2 linked regions of the Elephas maximus indicus genome follow. The protein of the gene in region 1 purifies or fractionates together with the protein of each later gene. This does not show direct contact. Links are inferred from orthologs where the notes say so. Each region holds a gene or a part of one and is shown in the gene's direction. Other genes may lie near its edges.

Region 1 (10,553 bases):
AGAGGAGACGACCAGTGACTTGAAGTGGGAAGAAACAGAGAGGAACTAAGGAGTCTGAATGCTTGCAGCCAATTAAAGCAACCACCTGAGTAACATGAGACTATTTCACCCCCAAGTTCCTAACTGTGTATAATTTATGCACTGATATTGCCTAGTATTAGGTACTATTGTCCTAATTATGTAGGAAAAAATAAATACTGGGTATACTTGCAAGTGGCTGGCTCTGTGTCCTGGGAGCAGAAGAAAGGGTACATAGAGAGATACCCAGAAAATTGAAAGAATGTCCTGAGATTCACAGTCTCCAAGCAGGTCTACCCCTGCCCTGGCTGGTGGCAAGACATTACAGACACATGGAAAGAAAACTGTCAGGGACCTTCTGCTTTGGGCTGCCTGGGTGCTTTTTAGGTACATGAATAAATAAAATTATTAAATAAATATTTCTATAAATTGCGAAGATTTTCAAACTCCAGGATACAGTTCATTTACTGGAATAATAATGTAGCTAACCAAAGAATACGAGTAAAAAAAGCATTGCCGTTGAGTCAATTCCAACTCATAGTGACCTTGTAGGACAGAGTAGAACTGACCCATAGGGTTTCCAGGAGCAGTTGGTGGATTCAAACTGCTGACCTTTCTGTTAGCAGTCAAGTTCTTAACCACTGCACCACCAGGGCTCCACAAAGAATATGGGTAGTTCCTTTTAATTTTCTGCAAGAGAATTATACCTGCTTATCTTAAATGGACAGGAGAGGAGGGTCAAGGGAATGGTTATTAATTACAGGAAAGATTAGAAAGAGCTTGGGGAAGAAGGGTTAGCTATAGTGGAAATATAGGAGAAACACAACCTACTCAGTTGTTCCAGTTAGTCACTGTGAGAAAATGATTCAGAAGCATTGTAATTTTAGGGAATATAAAGCAGAGCAGGACAAGCCAGATGATATCTCAGTGGAGAGAAAATGTGAAATCTCAGAGATGAAAGCCAATTTTCTCTGGTAATCCCCCAGAACGGGGCTAGCATTTCACACACAAAGTCCTGAAGAAAGGGAAGTAGACCAGAACACTCTGTTCAGATTAGGGAGGAAGAAAATTTCGAAAGAATTTTCAAGAATGTTATAAAGTTTGCAAATACTTGTAGGATAAAAAAAAAAAAAAAAGCAGTAAATAAAAGTTAAAGGATCAAAGGATTATTTTTCCCAGAAAAGGTTATCGAGAAGTCCTGCTCCCCTGTATTTACAGGCTGTAAAAAAAAACAAACTGCCTTAAAATGTATACATTTAAAAAATGCTTATTGTAAAGGAAAAAAAAAAAACCATTGCCATTGAGTTGATTCCTGCTCATAGCAACCCTATAGGATAGGGTAGAGCTGCCCCATAGGGTTTCCAAGGAGCAGCTGGTGGCTTTGAACTGCCAACCTTTTGGTTAGCATCCACAGCTCACCATAGCTCTTAATATTGTAAAGAGGGTGGTTGAAATTAACTGTAAAGCGTCCTAACTCTCCCCTGGAGTTCTTAAAAGTAGGATAAATTCCCTTTTTTCTTGTTGGATTAGTAGTAGCCTTGCCTTCAGATAACAAATTCAATAAATGATTTTTCTAGGTCTTTTTTTTCCCTGTGAACCAGAGCCAGTACAGGCTGAGGAAGGCCCTAGAGGTAAAAAAGGCAACTGTCATTTTAGTCATTTGCTTTGGGTTCTACTTGTGGCATAGGGTAAATTATTTCCAGTCTCGGGACCTTAGTTCCCACAGTTCCATAATAAATACGTTTGTAAAAAACTTATTTTTGCCATCAACAGATGAATAAACAAAATGTGGTATATCCATACAAAGGAATATTATTTAGCCATAAAGACAAATGAAAGTCTGATACATGCTATGACACAGATAAACCTTGAAATATTATGCTGAATGAAATAACTCAGACACAAAAGGACAAATATTGTATGACCCCATTTATATGAAATATCTAGAATAGGCAAATGCACAGAGATAAAAGTTTATTAGTAGGTTACCAGGTGCTGGGGGTAGGGAGAATGGGGAGTTATTGCTGAAGGGGTTTTGGGTTTCTTTTTAGGGTGATGAAACACTTTTGGAAATGGGTATGGTGATGGTAGCTTAACATGTTAAATATGATTAATGTCACTGAATTATACACTTTAAAACAGCAGACTTTTTGTTATATGTATTTCACCACAAAATTTTAAAAAACCACAACACTTCTTTTTGAAGATTTTCCTAAGGCACTATTGGTGTAGAAAATACTTTGTTACTATAAGTTGCTGTGTGAGCACATATATCATTATGACTCATAATATAACATGTAACATATAAATTCTTCAGTGTTACTAGTATCCTAGTACAGAAAACAGGAGTTAGACTGAAGAAACATAAGGTTAGCTTTAAGTTCAGTTTCATCTGAACTCTTTTTTCTCTTTACTAATGTTTTGTGGACATGCTGTTTGCAAATTCCCCTGAGCCAGAGTAGGTATGCAATACTTCTTCCCCTAAAGCTTTGTAAACTCCAGCAAAAGCCCCGGCTGTCAATATTTATCTAATATACTGATGATTCTTAGGAGGCTCTGACGGAATGAAGCATGTTCTCAGCTCTGCTGATTGTTACACAGCTCACATATAGGGCAGGAGCCTTGAGTAAGAGCATCACAGAAGCTAGGGCCAAGGAGGCCCTATAGGTGATCTTTATCTTGCACATGAGGAACCTGGGGCCAAAGGAGGAGAAATGCCCATCCAAAGTTACATAGCCAGCCAATGGCAAATCCCAGGGCTAGGTCCTCTGTCTCCTTGTGGATAACGCAACATGTTTTTAGTGAATTGTGGGGAGTTTCAGCTAGAAAGTAAGATAGGTTTCTGCCGTTCCTCACTCAGTAATTTTTAGACCCAGAAAGACCTGTCTGTTTACATTAAGGCTAAGTTTTTTAATGTCCACCAGGAAGGAGATTTTTCCCAAAAATATTCCAGCAGAGGGCAGCAAGCTTAAATGTGGATCCTAGAGCTTAAAATGGTTTTAAAATGAAAGAGGATGCCTTTTCATCTCTAATTTTGTCCACCACCATTACCTCCAACAATAAACAGCTACCAATTTTATCTTAATGCTTTACTATGTGCCAGGCACTGTGTATATGCTGTGTGATATTTATCTCATTTAATCCTCCTAACAGTGTATCTACCTATGAGTTATGTTATCCCCATTTTACACACGAGGAGATTTAGAGATTAAGAATTTGCCCAAGGACCCACAGCTAGAAAACAAAAAAGCCAAAATCCAGACTGAGGTTATCAGAACTGCAAAGCCCTTAAAACATCTCATGGTTCCTCAGGGGCTGTCTGCTTGAGTATGAGGTGCCGCCTGGTGAGAGGAAGAAAAAGACGTTAATGAATCATACTAAAATGTAATCTAAAAACAAATTTTAAATTTTTATTTTTTTTTAATGTTTTTAAAAATTGCCACACTGGGCTGTTCCAATCATGGTCACCAGTGACTTCCATGTAGCTAAGTCCAGTGGTCAATTTTCAGTCCTCATCCTGCTTGAACTTTCAGTAGTATGTGATACTGCTGATCACTCCTTGGTGATCAGGACTTGGTTTTTTGACTTGGTTTGCAGGACCTTACACTCTTGGTTTTCCTCCTAACTCATTGGCTGGTCCTTTTTAGTATCCTTTCTCTGGTTCTGCCTCTTCTCTCAGAACTCAGTCCTTGGTCCTCTTTTCTTCTGTCTACACTCACACCCTTGTGTTCTCATCCTGTGGCATGACTTAAGATGGTATTTAAATGTGTATTTCTACCCCAGATCTCTCACCCTTGAAATCCAGACATGTATATTCAACTTGTACTAAATATCACCTCCACATGGAAGTTGACATCTCGACTTAACAAGCCCCTAATATCCCCCCTCCAAATCTGCTTTGTTCGCAGCCTTTGGTATCTATTGATGGCAGATCCAGCTCTCACTCACTCAGGCTAAACACCTTAGAGTAATCCTTGGCTTCTCTTTCCCTCACAACCCACAGGTAAGCCTTTAGGAAATCATTTTGGCCCTATCTTTACAATGTAGCCAACTGCAACCACTTTTCTCTGCCTCCCCTGCTACCACTCTGGTCTGAGTCTTCATCATCTTTCAAATAGATTACTGCAATCGATATCATCTTACGATATCTCCCTGCTTCTACCTTTCCCCTCCAGAATGATCTTTTTAAAAACTGAATCAGATCATCTCACTTCCCTGTTCCAAATCCTACAATGGCTCCCCACGTCAGAGTAAAAAATGCAAGACTTACAGGAGCTTACAAGGAGCTAAAAGAGGTGGCTCCCCATTTCCTTTCTGACCCGTCTCCTACAATTCAGTATTTCCAGCCATTCTGCCCTCCTTGGAACCCTGGTGGTACAGTGGTTAAGAGCTCAGCTTATAACCAAGAGGTCAGCAGTGTGAATCCACCAGCCACTCTTTGGAAACCCTATAGGGGCAGTTCTACCTGTTCTATAGGGTGGCTATGAGTTGGAATCGATTCTTCAGCAACAGGTTTGATTTTCTGCCCTCCTTGCTCTCCTTCTAGGAACACTGAAGGTTCACTCTTGCCTGGGAGTCTTTGCTCCCAGGTGGCAGCTTGGGTAACCCCTCTTGACCTTCAAATCTTTGTTAAAATATCAAGTTTTCATTGAGTCCACTTTATTTATATTGCAACCTCCCCTGCTCCATCTCCCTAGCACTCTGATTTGTTTTTGCTTTATATTTTCCCATAGTACTCTTCACCTTCTAACAAATTATATAATTCACTTACTTTTTACATTGTCTTCCCTATCTCTCTCTAGAATGTAAACTCCATAAGGCAGGGATCTGTTTTGTTCACATATGTATCCCCCAAGCACCTAGAAACTGTGCTAGATATACTTGTGGAGGGAATTAAAAAAAAAATTTTTTTTTAATTCTTCTGAGACTAAAACGTTTAGTAACAAACCAATTTATTCCAAATTTCAGAATATCCTGGCACAAAATAGATGCGTAATAAGCATATGTAATTTGTGTGTAATCTGGGCACACATTTCCAAAGCATCCATTTTATGTGTAAGAGTTGGAATTTATTTTGAGTTCTGTCTATTCTGTGTCCAAAGCCCAGTTTTGCTTTCATTTTGCATTTTTCTACTTCAGGAAGAAGCCCTGTAACTTCTGTTTAACAGTCAGTTTTGTTCTCTGAATACGTCCATAAACTCTATCACCCAGAGATGGTTAAGGAATTTGATTAAGAGCTAAGATAATGAAGTTGCAGAGAAAGAAAAACAACTGAAATAAAGGATGCTTCTGAGAAATAACCCTTTGGAGGGATGGTCAGAGCAGTATATGCAGGATAAAGCAGTAAATGGCAGCACTTGAGTGCACTCACAGATCTGGGGTCTAACTTCAATTCCATCAATTTCCCCAAAAAAACCCATTGCCATGGAGTTGATTCTGGCTCACAGTGACCCCATAGGGTTTCCAAGGCCACATCTTTCTCCCCTGTGGAGCCGCCAGTGGTTTCCAGCCACCGATCTTTGAGTTAGCAGTGACTGCTTTAACCACTGCCCCGCCAGAGCTCCTGCTCACCTGATATTGATTTGTCCGTTTTCTCACCTATAAATAGTAGTAAAAATGCCTGTTTGAGTACCCTGCATTTCTACCCCGGATGTACTGGACCAATCTGCATTTTAACAGGATCCCCAGGTGATTCTTAAGTATAATAAAATTTGAGAAAGGCTGCTCTACTTGTGGGAGCCCCAGTTGGTGCAGTGGTTAAAAGTTACTGAGAGCGACGGCAGCTAATTAAAAGGATGGCAGTTCCAATCCACCAGCTGCTCCTTGGAAACCCTATGGAGCAGTTCTGCTCTGTCCCATAGGGTCGCTATGAGGGCAACAAGTAGGGCTCTACTTGTGGTTCTCAGAATTGGTCCGACTCTCAGGTCAGCACCATGAACATCACCTGGGAAATTGTTAGGAATGCAAATTCTGAGCAGGGGCCCTAAGCAGAAAGAACCGGTTTGAAGCCCCGGTTAGCACCTACGCGAAGAGATTGTGAGTTGTCAGGGACCAAAGGGTTCATTTAAAGAGAAGGTAGGAAAACCAGTAAGAAAAGCAATCAAAAAGGTGGGAATAAGATTCAAAGCCCCTTCGTGAATAATTAAGGCCTAGAATGGGGAGCAAGGCCTTCGCTCTCGGAAATCTCTCAGCTGCGAGGGGAGCCAGCGCCCGGCTCCAGGTGGGGGCTTTCCAACCGCGCCCGGACGCGCCGAGAAGGAAGAGGCGCCTTTCAGGCGGTGTAGGGAGAGCCGGCAGCGCGCAGGCCAGGCCTTGTAGGGAGTGGAGCGGAGGTGACTGGCTGGAGGCCACGCGGACTCCCCCTCCGAGGGTCCGAGGCCGCCCAGACTTGCCTGGCAGTGGGAGGGGCTTCCCTCCTGGCCTCCGGCCGCTGCTCGGCTTACCTGACGCTCTCGCTCCCTTGGGCTTTGCCCACCTGACACTCCCCACACACCTCGAGGACGGTGTAGATGCTTCACTTCCTCCCTCCTCCTCCCAATCGCCTACTCTTTCCTCTTCCCTACCCCACCCGGTCCATTCTCTTGCCCCGAGGGTTACTCCTCCCCTTCCTAGTTCTGGCTCCTTACAAATAGTTTGGTTTGAACTTTTGAACCCACCAATCAGAGCCGCTTGCCCTCCCCTCTCCGCAGGCCGGGAGGAGCCGCGCGGCCGGGGCGGGCCCACGACGCGTGGCCGGGGGAGCGTATAAAGGGCCGGGTGGGCCGCAGCCTCTCCCTACTTCTCCCCCGGACTCCTTGGCAGTCTGTTAGTGGGAGGTTCCTGCTGCTAGCCACTCGCCTTCTCTGTCCCCGCGGGTCCCTTAAGAGTCCCGTCATGGTGAGTGGGGACCCTAGGATAGCGCGGGCCGGAGCCTCACCCCGGGCTCGCGGTACGGGGAGAGCGCGCGTTCCGAAGGGCTGCAGGAGCCGCAGAGCCACCGGCTGCACGTGGGGCCGCGCCCGCACAGCTCCGGGCTCCTCTGGCCAAACGCGCGTCTGGTGGCCGTACTGGGGTAGCGGGGTTCACCGAACTTGCCCTCCACTGGAAACCCTGGTGGTGTAGTGGTTAAGAGCTACGGTTGTTAACCTAAAGGTCGGCAGTTCGAATCCACCAGGGGCTCCTTGGAAACCTTATGGGGCAGCTCCACTCTGTCCTATAGGGTCGCTATGAGTTGGGATCCACTCGACCGCAACGGGTTTGGTTTTTTGGGTTTGCTTCGGGCCGGAAGGCGCGGCCCAGGCACTGTCCTCGGTGGAAGTGGAAAGCCCCCTTGGTCCAAGGGTCCGCCACCGCTCAAGAAAGGGCAGAAGGTCTTTACATTGGCCCCCAAGGATCTGAGGAAACTAAAAATCCTACCCCCTAGTTTCCCCAAATGACCTCACCTTCCTGCTGTCGTACGCGCTGGGCCCCGGAAGTTGAATGGGCAGGTTGTCTCTGGTACTTCCCGCACGGAAGGTGCGAACGCTCCTGGGCGCCCCCTCCCCAGCGCCCTGTGACTCGCTGCTGAGTCACCTGTGGCCGGGCTCTGGCTAGAGCTTCAATTGCACCATTCCACCTGAAGGACGGAGGCGGGCCCGTCCCTTGAAGGGAATAACTAAGTCTCACAGGTCTAATCCTACGTTTCTAGTGTTAACTTGGAAACCCTGGTGGCACAGTGGTTAAGTGCTAGGCTGCTAACCAGAACGTCTGCAGTTCGAATCCACCAGGTGCTCCTTGGAAACTATGGGGCAGTTCTACTCTGCCGTATAGGGTCGCTATGAATCGACTCGAGCGCAATGGGTACCGAAATGTTAACTTAGTGAGGTGTTTATAGCTGAAAGTTTCCACTTAAGGGAGATTTTTAAAATGAATCCATAAAAGGGTTTTGTATAAGACCAGAGTAAACTACCGCTGATTATTTACGCTTTCAAGACACATGAAACTGTACACAACTGGAATATTTTCTATATAGCTACCAAAGGTGTTGGGAAACAACTATCTTGGACAACACCGGGCCTACTTAGAATAAGCCATGTTTTTAAACAAGGATTTGTGTTTCAAATGTTTCTTAAAGTATCTAAAAAGGGGAGGGATGTAGTAGTGAATAATCGACCAGTTCCTGTCTTCGGAGACTGCCACAGCTAACAAAAATCTGAATACTGTAACAACTTGTCTGGGTGCCTTTGAGCAAGCAAGAACAAAAAGATACTGGTAAAAGTGTGGTTCAGAAAGTAGTGGGCTTGTACTAAAGGGCAGGAAAGCATTGGCCACGGGTCTGCTGGTGCTTATTCAGTTCAAGCCATACTAAGTAAATCCATCACCTGTGCCTTATTCTCCCAAGTGGGCAGGGGGGAGAGGAGGGCAAACAGTGGCCACTGGCTTTGCCTGCTCAGCTTCTAGGGAGAGTTTAGACTGGTTAGCATTGAAACTTTTTGACTCAAAAAGTTTCAATGGAAGAACAGCTTCTTTAGGATGAGAGGATCTTCTCCGGTACCTTTCTTTGGGCCTGAGGGGTGTTATGAATGGATCTCTGGTTCTTTACAGCTTTCTGGGGCTGTGGTATTTCCAAAGTCCATTTAAAGGTAAACATGATGCAATGGTAAATAGTCATGGGCTCATTAGAACGAACAACTCATTCTCCCACAGCCCTGGAGCTGGACGAGTAGGCACAGGTAATACTGAGCTTGCCGATGTGGTCAGGACACCATGATTGTTTTATGGGGAGTGTAGGCGGGAAGGAGTGATCATAAGTTAAAGGTTGTGAGTGATTCAGGGGTTGTATTATCTTGGGTTATGAAACTAGGCCCTTTGAGAACTTAGCTGGCTGTTCAATTTTCTTTAGTTTCTTATTAGCAGCTTTTAAAAACTTGAAACCATACTATTCAGGGAAAAATGTAATGGGACATTTTTGGTGTGGATATTTTGAAAGTCCTGTGCCAGTCTAAAAAGTAGCTAATCTGGCTGCTGATGAGATAAAATAAACAAGCTTTATGTTTTTTCTGTGAAGTCTGTGGGTATAGATTCTATGTTAATTACCTTATTTTTGCTAGGTAGGAATGATTTTCTACCTTCTAAATGACTGTTCAGCATGTAAAAAGGAAAATATTTCTCTGATATCATCAAATTCTTGAAACCATAGGCTTTTTGTCACAACAGCAGAGAGATATATACATTTTACTAGAGAGCAGCTAATTTCTTAATTTCAGTGATGACACTTACTGGGAAACCCTGGTGGCGTAGTGGTTAAGTGCTATGGCTGCTAACTAAAAGGACAGCAGTTCGAATCCACCAGCTGCTCCTTGGAAACTATGGGGCAGTTCTACCCTGCTCTGTAGGGTGGCTGTGAGTTAGAGTCAACTTGACAGCAATAGGCTTGGTTTTTTGGGGGGCGGGGGGGGGATGACACTTACTAGGCTTTATTAACATGAGTCAATGATTTGTTGATGATGAAGGAAAAATGTTCTTCCTAAAGATTAAATTCTCCTATAGGTTGCCTCTGACCACACCGTTCAAATACAGCTAACTGCTGCTCATCTAGCACTTTCTCCCTGAGTCATATGGCTGTAATTTGCTGGTTTTAGAGGGGGGCAGAGAAAAGCTCTTGTCTTTTTAAAGAATAGAATTAAAGAGGGACTAGAATAAGCTCACTAGTTACACAATCACACAGGAAATGAATCAGCTGGAAGGGGAACTTTGCATGAGTTTAAGGAATCAGCAGGCATATTTCCGAAGAGCAGCTTGTCATTCTAACATGGTAGAAACCTGACCTTCAATATCTAATGTGGCTGCAAAGCAAGGGTCTGGCCTAGTGTGGGACCAAGAACCAGATTTGACCTTTTGCATCTGCTTTTCTGAAAGTAGCCTGAGCAATTAAGGAGCTCTTTGTCTTTTTAAGAAAACCCTGGTGGCATAGTGGTTAAGTGCTACGGCTGCTAACCAAAGGGTTGGCAGTTCAAATCCGCCAGGTGCTCCATGGAAACTCTATGGGGCAGTTCTAGTCTGTTCTATAGGGTTCCTATGAGTCGGAATCGACTTGATGGCACTGGGTTTGGGTTTTTTTTTGTTCATCTTTCTAAAAGGGGCCCCTGGTTGCACAGTGGCTAAGCACTTGCCTGCTAACCAAAAGGTCAGCGGTTCAAACCCACCAGCTGCTCCACAGGAGAGAGATGTGACAGGCAGCTTCTGTAAAGATTTACAGCCTTAAAAACCCTTTGGGGCAGTTCTACTCTGTCCTGTAGGATCGCTGTGAGTCAGAATTGACTCGACAGCAGTGGATTTGGTTTTGTCTTAAGTAGCCAGGCAAGTAGGGGCTACACAGGCTACCCCCCCTCCCTGTACCTGGCAAGCCAACTTTGGGGTGGGGAGGTATGATGCAGTCATGCATATTCATTCATTGATTAGGTTGATCATAAGTATGCATTAAGGCTCCCGTCATGCATATTCACTGAGGTTCCAGTGACTAGGGAACCATGGACCTTGGAGCTCTCTTTTTGAGGCCTAATGGATTGGTGAGAATA
Region 2 (10,302 bases), on another chromosome or scaffold:
TTGCTATGAGTCGGAATGGACTCAAGGGCAACGGGTTTGGTTTCAATATTGTTTGTCACTTGGTCTGCTCCCTCTCTAAGAAACTTCAGTTGCTGTGTGCAGTCAGGTCAATTCCAACTCGTAATGAGACTATAGGACAGAGGAGAACTGCCCCATAGGGTTTCCTAGGCTCTACGTTATATGATCTTTATGGGAGCAGATCCCCAGGTCCTTTCTCTCACAGAACCGCTGGTGGGATCAAACAGCTGACCTTTCTGTTAGTAGCTGAGCGCTTAATCGCTGTGCCACCAGGGCTCCTGGAAGCTTCAGAGTGCCTGCTATACTCACAGCTCCTTCTGCACAGGCTCCTTAAGCAGATCGCCATGTTTTCTACCACAAGGACCCTGCTAACCTGATCACACCTGACTGACCAGAATGAATGTCTGCCACTGAGGCAGTTCTTTAAACATGAGGCAACCGTCTAAGTGAGCACCACAACTCCTAGGAAAGGAGGGAGTTGGTCAGTGATGATAGGAACATTGCTGCTGTGTTAGGGGCCGTCAAGTCGGTCCCTGGCTCATGGCACCCCATGCACAACAGGGTCGGAGCGTTGTGATCCGTATGATTTTCATGACTGATTTCTCAGAAGTAGGAGATCGCCAGGCCTTTCTTCCCAGTTTGCCTTAGGCTAGAAGCTCTGCTGAAACCTGTTCAGCATCACGGCAATGAAAGCCTCCACTGACAGACGAGTGGTAGCTGCACTTGAGGTGCACTGGCTGGGAATCAAACCCAGGTCTCCCATACACCTCTAGTTAAAAGCAGAGGAAAAATAATGGAGTCACTATACTGGCTCACCACTGCTGTAGGGAGCCACAGCAACAAATAACCTGATAACTGAAGGCACCCCAGAACTCTGCTGAATCCTGAAAGCCTAGCTCCTGACTGGCATCCACACCTCCATGAGATCTGACAGTGGACAGGTGAAATGATTCTTTTCCTTCCCTCTATATCCTAAGAGCAGCAGGGAAGGTACCTTCAAGGGCTGTATTAATCCCATTACCTAAGGTAACATGCTCGCATTCCTTATAACCTGAAAAATTTAACTACCACACTTAGTTGAGGCACCAATTTAAAACTGACCCTTAAAGAAACAAGAACAGAAAAAAGTATAGACTAATAGAAAAAAGGTAGACAATCCAGATGCCTTCTCTGCACACATCAGGAGGAGTGCATCATAGCACAAGAGCCCCTGAGATAAGGCCCCATTATGTAAATGAGACTGGAAAGGTCACAGGAAGGAAGTGAAAATACTGCCTTATATCTTGTTTGATCTGTAGATCCATAAACCTATTCCTCATCTCAATAAAAGTTGCCCAGTCGACTGAAAGAAGGCAGGCAACTTGTTGAACACCATAAACAAAATCTCATTCTCAGAATTACACAAGCTTGAGCAGAATTCTGGAACTTGTTTTTTTAAACAAATGTCAGTCACTGATATAACAACACATATGCTATACCAATAAAATCAGATATTCAGATTAAATAAATCTGATTTTAAATGAATACTGAATGGCTAAGAATTTAAATGTAAGAGTTAACTAAGCATAAAGCATAAGGATATAAAAATTAAGAACTGTTGAGTATTTTGTGTTCTTTCCAAGAAGTGAAAAGTGGGTCAAGGCCTTATCTTGATAAGGAATAAGCAGCTGCTCTTTTCCCTCCCAGTTCTCTCTGGCTGGAAACATGGTTGGCTTTGGACAGTTTGGGAGGAGGCAAGAGGGGAAGGGGGCAGAGAGGAGGTGGGATGATGGTAAAATCTTTAAAGGGAGGATCTTCATATAAGATAGTAAAACAAGATAGAGTATCTCATTATATGCAAATAGGAGTATTAATCTTAAAATAGGACTTCCCCCTTCCAGACTTTCTTCCTATGTTTTTGTTCATTTTACAAATATTCAAAATAGCCTTGAAAACCAGTACTATTTAAACATAAGCCAAGTTGCCGCCAAGTCAATTCTGACTCAAGCCAATGACAAACTAACTGGAAAAACAGTGGAATTTCTCAGCTCCACTGCCCTCCCCCCGACACCCCAAATATCTTCCATGGAATGCCACTGTAAAAAAGCCAAGCAATTCTTGTCAAACCTCTGCAAAACCCTAGGATTTCTCAGACACAATCTGAAAGCCACTCCAGCAAAGGAGTCCATGAAGCATTTAAAAAAAAAAAAAATTACAAAGTTTATATTAGCATATGATGAAATAAGCGTGCACGTTTTTCAGTTACATCGCCACCACTTTCCCTTCAACATGAGCCAAAGAAACAGAGACTACAGATGAGAGTTCTTTTTGGGGGGTTGGGGGTGGGGGGAGGAGGCAAAACCACTCCTTCTCTACTGCCAAACCAATCCTTTAATACGGCCTCTTGTGTCTGCAAGGAAAACGTTACACCATCCAAGAGAGACTTTATGAATCAATCAGAGACACTCACCTTTCTCTAAAAACACAGAGACAGTAATCAATATCCCCCCAGAATGGCTTTTTCCACTCTGAAGGATCCGGAAAATAAAAAACTGGTAGAAGAATGAGTGAATGAGTAAGTAAATAAATGTGTGTGCATTCTAGTCCAAACAAGCCAACTGTAAAAACAAAAGTGCTTTTTATAAAAATCAGGGAAATTTGAGTACTGTCTGGATATCTGATGATATTTAAGAAATCATTGTTGATATCCTTTAGGCTTAACTATGACATCGTGTTTGTTTAACGTTCTGTTTCTGCAGTTTTCTTTTTTTTTTTAAGAAGTGTTCATCTTTCAGACATACACCTGAAAGATTTACAGAAGAAAAAATTCTGAGATTTGCTTATGATTTCCAGCAGGCGGTTGAAAGAAAATTGGCCATGTGCTAACAATGGTGGAAACTGGTAATAGGTACGTGAGGCTTTACTATACTCATCTATTTTTTGCGTAAATTTGAAAATTTCTTCCAGTGGTGGGGGGGGAGCCTGTGCATCAAAAAATTCTGTCAAAAATTACAGAAACTTGTGTTCCACTAAATCAGCCAGAATACTGCCTGTTTTCTTCTTACTCTTCAGATTTGATTAACAAAAAGTTCTAGTATCCAAACTAACTTCCTCCAACAGACCCGTAACTGAAGTATCAGACTCACCTTGGTGTCTTTAATGCCACTCATCAGCTATATGACTGCCTGGTGAGGCACTAACCTAGGATTCCAATTTATAATCAGTAGTCTTATTTCCACTTCAATACCAAATATCCGTTTTGCTAGGATGAACTGGCACTAACCTAGGATTCCAATTTATAATCAGTAGTCTTATTTCCACTTCAATACCAAATATCCGTTTTGCTAGGATGAACTAGCACAAGTTCTTTTTATTTTTAAAGCTTGTTTTCTCCCCGGCATTTGGAGTAAGTTTGGTGGGCAGTACACACAAAGGAGAAAAATTAACAGATGTTGCTCACTCCCGAGAAGTGAACCCTTTCAATGAAAAGGGTAAAAGGACGCAATCGAACGTCACACACAGAAATGTTCCAAAAATCTCCCGGTAAGTAACTACCGACTGGGTCACCCCCAAAGCCTGTTAAGCGGTTAAAAAGGAGCGCCCCTGGTTGGTTTGTTTCATCTCCTCCTCCTTTCTTAGGGGAGGTGCTAGAGAGCAAAGAAATGACCACAAGACGGGCCGGAAAAAGGAACGAGAGAAGCACGGAGCGCGGACAGGCAGCTCTGTGGTCCCCGAGAGTTGGCTCCAGGTGAGGCCAAGTTCAGGAGCGAGCCCACGCACGGCGCTCCGACTTCAGCCCAGCCCAGCAGGGCGCGGAGAGCTGCGCACGTCGCTCAGACTCCGACTGCCTTCTCGCCCCAAGGACTGCCAGGTACAAAGCACAGGAAGAATTCCTCCCGACCCGCGCCGTGGGGACACAGGGAGCTCGACTCCGCCAGCAGCGGCGCCGCGAAAACAACGCCCACCTGGCCGGCCGGGCTGGCCCGACGAGCCCTCCCAGCCGGCCGGGCTCCCCAAACGCCCGCCCCGCTCCCCAGGCCGGCGCCGCCGGGGACCCCTCTCCGCCAGGCCGGAGAGGCAGCGGGGACGCGGAGCCTCGCGGGGACGACCGAGGCCCTCCGCGCCTTCCGGCACCGGGGCGGCGGAGCTGCCCGTCCCCTGCGGGTCCAGGCCCGCGACCCCTGCGGCTCCAGGCCCGCGCCCCCGGCCCGGTCCGCCCCGCGCCCGCCGGGACCTGCGCGCCCCACCGAGCCGCGGCGGCCGCTGTCGCGCGCACCGAGCCACTGCCTACCTGTCCTCGCTCTTGTTTTTCTGTTTCTTCCCCATCGCGTGTCAGCGAGCCTCGCGGCCTCGGCCCTTTCCTTCGGTCTGTCACAGACCCACTGTCCCCCGGCCGACCGTGCTGTCCGCTCGGCTCCGGCCCCCCTACGCTGCCGCCTCTCGCTCCCGGCTCCCCACAGACCCGCGCACCGGGACAGGGCACATATGGTGTGAGCGCCCAGTGCGCAAGCGCGTCGCCCCGCCGCCGCGGCGTGGGGACGCAGGGCGCGGCTCATCGAGAGCGGCGCCTCGGGTAGAGCGTCGCCTGTGGAGCCGCTGGCTGGGCGGGAGCCCGCGCGCCCCCTGCCGGCAGCGTCGTCCGCGCGCCCACAGCCGCGCCGCTGCCGGGTTCTAGAACCACAGGGGGACAATTAGGTGGCCAGTCCCCACGTCAGCCCCTCTCCGCGGGGGAGGACAGACTTGGGGGATTGGCATTCGGTTCACAAAGGGACTTTTACTTCCACCTTTTAACCGCTGTGCCTTGTATTCCACCTTTTAACCTCTATACCTTGTATTCCAGCTTTTAACCTCTGTGCCTTTGTAGTCTCAGCGGCAGGAAGTTCAGTAAAGAACCGTAATGAGCTGAAGACGAACTCTCTGGGTATTCCCAACGGAGAGACATCCAGGGCAAAAGTGGGGTCTTTCAATAGCATGCGTGGATTATGAAGTATATTCACTCACTGAAGAAAACATGTAACGAGGACACACGACCACGGCAGGTTGCCACCCAGCCTGTTCTGACTCGCGGCCACCCCGTGGGTTTCAGGGTGGACCTACCCCATAGGTGGCTGCCTTTCAGAAGCGGAGGGTCAGACTTCCTTCGGAGGCGCCTCTGGGTGGGTTTAAACGGGCGACCTTTCATAGTAAGGAGCTTAACCGTTTGTACCACCCGAGGACTCCTGTACCCATTAATGGCCCCCAAATCGGTTGTGATCTTTACATTTAAAGTAAGAGTAAGTCCCTAAAAGTTAGTATGTTAGGGAAGTCACTAAGGAACCTACTAGGGTAATGAGAATGTTCTACATCTTGATCCCGGGAGTGGGGTGCTACGACAAGTCTCACCTATGTAAAAACTCATCGTGCTGTGCAAGTTAGACCTCAAGTGTTTAGAAAATGTTCAATAAACAGAGAACGCAAACGGAGACTGACTGTCAGTCCTGAGCAAGATCGCCGCTATCTCATTTCTGAGGAAACGTGATAATGACTACTGAGGGACTGTGCTTAAGAAAGCCGGGCGCCAGGCTCAGTACTGTAAAAACTACAACTCCCAGCGTACTTCGCTCCCTCTTCCGCCGGGCAGTTCACCGGAAGGGAGGCGAAAGATAGGCAACCACGGGTCCCGAGGTGCTTCGGGTGGAGGGGGCGGCGCGCGCGCAGAAGCGCTCGCCGCACGAGCCGCCCCTCCTCCTCGGGTGTGGCAGGTTGTATCGCGAGAGGACCGGAGCCAATGAGGAGGCGGAGAAGACGGCTGGCTCACGGCCGCCCGCCGCTGCTGCGAGGCTGTAGCGTTAGTGGGCCGCGTTCGTGGACCGCCTGCTCCTCCGCTTCCCAGGCGCACCGTGAGCTCAGGTGAGTGAGGCGGAGGGCGGTGTGGGAAAACGGGCCACCTCGTCCCGGTGCTGATGGACACACGGCCGGCCCACAGCCTGCAGGCCGGGGAGGGGCGCGGCCCGGCCCGGTGTCCGTGCGCCCCCGGAGGGTGGAGGTCGGGGTCCCCGGAGCGCTGCCCTCATTGGTGCCCGGGGCCTCGGCAGCGGTGAGGATCCTCTGGGGAAGGCCCCTTGACTGTCCTGGCGGGTGCCCGGAGGGAAACTGAGGAAACGTCGGGTAATGTGGGGACAAACTGTGTCCCTTCCCGCCCTTCCGGCTGTGCTGGAAAAGAGAAGAGTCGGACGCTCATGGTTGGAGAATGAGTTACGGGACCGCTAGACCGTCTCTGTGAGCGTTTTTCCTTTCTGAGTGCGGTGAACCTCGGGAACAGAGGCTGTTAGTCGCTTCTGTTTCCATTTCTTCCAAAATGAAATTCTGGGCTCATCCCGTGAAACGTCACGGGGAAGCTTCGCTGCGCCCCTAGTAAGAACAGGTCCTGGCGCGCAGCGCAGTGTTTAGGACCCAGTTTCTGCCTCGCCTGGTCCCCGCGCCGACCGACGTGGTTCGTGGGAGGCCCGGGGTGGGAGGAAGTGAGCGTTTATTTGAAACACAGCTTTTTTTCACTTTTATAGCATAATAGCATGTTAGAGGAGCTTACGATTTGGTTTTTTAAACTCAGAAATAGGTGTGTTTTGACACTTAGGGCAATTTGAGGGGAAGCTGGGCGCGTGCTCATTGAACGTGGAGCAAGGAACACCGCTGTGTTCCGGGCGCTGTGCTAGCTAGCTAACTCTGGGAGGCAAAGATGAAATTGGGTATACTTTTCAACTGCTTTTCTCGTAAAGAAAAAGGAATTACAAGTGACGTTTGCAAAGAGGTTATTTTTCTTCAGCTCAACAAACATTTATGGAAGGCTTCTGTGTGGGCCAGACACTGTCAGAAGCTGGATGAATAAGTTCAGAATTTATTCAGATTTTCTCGGTGCTTCACTACTGTATGAAATATAGTTTACCAAGATGGACAGATTCCTGCCCTCGTAAGCAAATGGTAAATCTTCTTTCTGTGATATTTACCCAAAGATTCAGCTAGACAACACAGAAAATTGCTTGTTGTGGGCCAAAAATAATATTGTTTGTTTTAAAACATATGTAGAGATAGATCTCCCTTTCTAATCTGAATTAGTTAGGTTTTATAATACTTTGACAAAACGGACAAATTTTTAGAGCACTGTTTTACAAAGGGAGCCCTAGTAGGGCAGTGGTTAAGAGCTGGGCTGCTAGATAAAAGGTCAAAAGGTTGAATCCACCAGCTGCTCCTTGGAAACTCTATGGGGCAGTTCTACTCTGTCCTGTCCAGTGGCTGTGAGTTGGAATCGATTCAACGGCAATGGGTTTGGTTTTTTGGTATTTTACACAAAGCAGTGTTGATGGAAAAATCAATTTTTTTTAAATCTTTGGAGTGTTGTGTTGTTTCACATCAGAGTTAAGAACACAGACTTATTAAATCAATACCTGTTTCAATTTTTGTGGCTTTGTGTATTTGAGTCCCTGAGTGGTGCAACCAGCTGTTAAGCACTTGATTCTAGATGAAAGGTTGGCAGTTCAAATCCACCCAGAGGCACCTCAGAAGACAGGCCTGGTGATCTGTTTCTGAAAGGTCACAGGTTTGAAAACCCTATGGAGCAGTTTTACTCTGCACGCATGGGGTTGTCGTGAGCCAGAATCAACTGGAGGACAACTAACAACAACAAACACTTTGTTAGTAACGGGAGAAAGGGAATGGAACTGACATCTGTGGAATCTGGGGCTCTGTTCTTGACATACATTGTTACTGGGTCTCTTAGGGCCTAGAGACATTAATCTTGCTTGAGCAGAGACCGTGAAAAAACTCTGCCTTCCGTTCAACTCTGCTGTATGTTGAAGTAAAGTTTGATGTGTATGTTTATGTGAAAACCTCAGTACAGTTATACCTTGCTCTTTCACAGTCGTTTATGCTTTCCTTCCCTTTTCCTTTGGTAAAGAACACTTATGGTCAGTGCACGTCACTAGGTATGACTCCCAGCTTTTCAACTCTCTTTGGTCTGGTGATGCTCTTGAATACTTCTCTTTGTTTTGGTATATTAAAACAAACTAAGTCAGAAGCATCCTAACTTCACTGTATATAGTTTTTGAGTTGTGTAACTATAACCAATTGAAAATTAAATTTTAAAACATTTAAATAGAAATTCTTGAGCCTAAAGTCAAGTGCTTGACTAGAAGCAGAATACTAAGTGCCATACAGATTATATACTTACTAGAGTTTTTGAGAATGGGAGGGAAAACTTTTCTTATTGTTTGTAATTTTCTTCTACTTTTATCAATCTTGCCCTAGCACCAAGGCTGAACTGTGCCATTTTGAAGAATGGAAGCCAATGCATCTGTTGACATGTTCTCAAAAGCCCTGGAGCACCAGCTGCTTCAGACCACCGCGCTGGTGGAAGAACATCTCAATTCTGAGATCCAGAAACTGGATCAGATGGGTGAGGACGAACTGGAACGCCTCAAGGAGAAGAGGCTCGAGGCGCTGAGGAAAGACCAACAGCAGAAACAAGTAACCTCTCTGCCCTGCTTTCTGAAGTTGCTGTAACAGGGTGCTCCTAACAGCTTACATACACATCTGCTCTAGTGGCTTACATTTTCGTCCTCAATTTTTAGTGAATTTGGAACTGAAAGTACTTAGGACTGTTAAAAATTTAGTCGGGGTGGGGAAAAAAAGCATTCAGAAGTTAGCCTAATTCATGTATTAATCCAGAATCAAGTAAAAGAGACAGATCCTGCTCAAAATTATTTCCAGAGCTCAGATTTTTTTAATTGAGGAGAGGGTGGTCTAGGAAGAGCAGGGGAGCTCTAGGAGTCAGTAGTTTCCATTTCAGGTAGCACTAACCAAAAACCAAACCCGTTGGCGTTGAGTTGATTTGACTCATAATGACCCTAGAGAACAGAGTAGAGCTGTCCCCTAGAGTTTCAAAGGAGTGACTGATGGGTTTGAACTGCCGTCCTTTTGGTTAGCAGTCATAGCTCTTAACCACTGTGCCACCAGGGCTCGCAGGCAGTACTAAAGCCTGTCGTAATTTAGCCATCTCCAAAGCAGGAATGACAAATAAGAGCTGTAAAGCAATTTATGTTGAAGAAATTACCCAGGCACTTCCAATGTAACAGTTTAATTATACGGCTTATTGAAAGAATTCATGCTGGTCTCAAGGTAAGGTAGTCTCAGCTCTTTCCTTGTTGTCCCGTAGAGTGTGTGGAATAAACTCATAGTTGTAGACTCTGAAAGGAGTTGGGTGAGATTCTGTAAATTGAATTTTTATAAAAAATGTGCTTCCATTGGTTTAAGTTACATTGAAATTCCTCATCACCTTTGATTCATCTTCACTTGGCTGCAGCTGAAACGTGAGTCTGAAGAAACAGGCAGGGAGTTTTGTTTGTGCTCTTGTAGCACTTCTGATGTGTTACACCCTCACTGTTAAGAACAGTTGCTACAGAAATGAAAGAATCTTTCATATGACCGAGTTCAAATTTTTGTATCTTGAGTTTTCTAGAACAGGATGTATTACATGGTTTTGAAATCATACTCCATCCTATTAAGAGAATGCTAATAATTCATAAGCAGAGGACAGATTTTTGGAACTGAAGGGTTTAAAATAGTACTGTATATGATTCTTGACAGCAGTGGGTTTGGTTTTTTGTGTATGATTTGCTATGAGTCAGAATCAATTCGACAGCAGTGGGTTTTTTTTTGTATACGATTAGACTCTGCCACAAACTCATATTTTGTGATCACAGTTAAGTACACTGGTAATTGCTAATGCCCAGCTGAAAAAAAAAGTCATAACCGTGATCAAGACCAAGCCCGCTGGTGTCAAGCTGATTCCAGCTCAGCGACCTTATAGAACAGAGTAGAACTGGCCTCTGAGGCTTCCAAGGCCATAATCTTGACACAGAAGCAGACTGCCACAGCTTTCTTCTGCAGTAACTATAATATGTCTGTAGAGAGACTGAACCTATCTGATGTGCAGTGAGGAATATATGTTAATTAAATAACATCCCAAATGAAGTTGTTAGCAATTCACGACAGTAGTCTGCATATGTGTAATTAAAAACCAACTGATATGGACATACTTCGGGCCTTTTTTTTAATTATTAATAATATAAATTGGTTTAAGATGAATTTGTCATGGAGTAACTCAGGATCTCATTTTAGGACTTCTATTATTGCATTTAACATCATTTTTATTAAAATGTTTTCTGAGGAAATAGGCAACAAGCCTTAGTGGTTGTAAAGGTACTCTTTTTGAAAGGGTGATACAGATAATGTAGTAACTTATATTCCTTCTGATCCACAAGGGTATTGGAG

Evidence for each region.
Region 2: the proteins of tubulin alpha-1C chain (region 1) and TXNDC9 purify together in Homo sapiens (co-immunoprecipitation; 3 studies listed by BioGRID and IntAct, counting the BioPlex papers as one, with this or other methods). This does not show direct contact. The link is inferred for Elephas maximus indicus from reciprocal best matches to the Homo sapiens genes TUBA1C and TXNDC9.

Annotation. Positions count from the first base shown.
Region 1 is NC_064822.1:104,671,559-104,682,111, forward strand, and holds the start of tubulin alpha-1C chain, read left to right. Parts: upstream 1-6,771; 5' UTR 6,772-6,891; coding exon 6,892-6,894; intron 6,895-10,553. UniProt on the Homo sapiens protein: Tubulin is the major constituent of microtubules, a cylinder consisting of laterally associated linear protofilaments composed of alpha- and beta-tubulin heterodimers.
Region 2 is NC_064835.1:86,450,985-86,461,286, forward strand, and holds the start of TXNDC9 (thioredoxin domain-containing protein 9), read left to right. Parts: upstream 1-5,744; 5' UTR 5,745-5,886; intron 5,887-8,277; 5' UTR 8,278-8,307; coding exon 8,308-8,496; intron 8,497-10,302. Other genes in the region: EIF5B (eukaryotic translation initiation factor 5B), read right to left, coding at 4,289-4,323. UniProt on the Homo sapiens protein: Significantly diminishes the chaperonin TCP1 complex ATPase activity, thus negatively impacts protein folding, including that of actin or tubulin.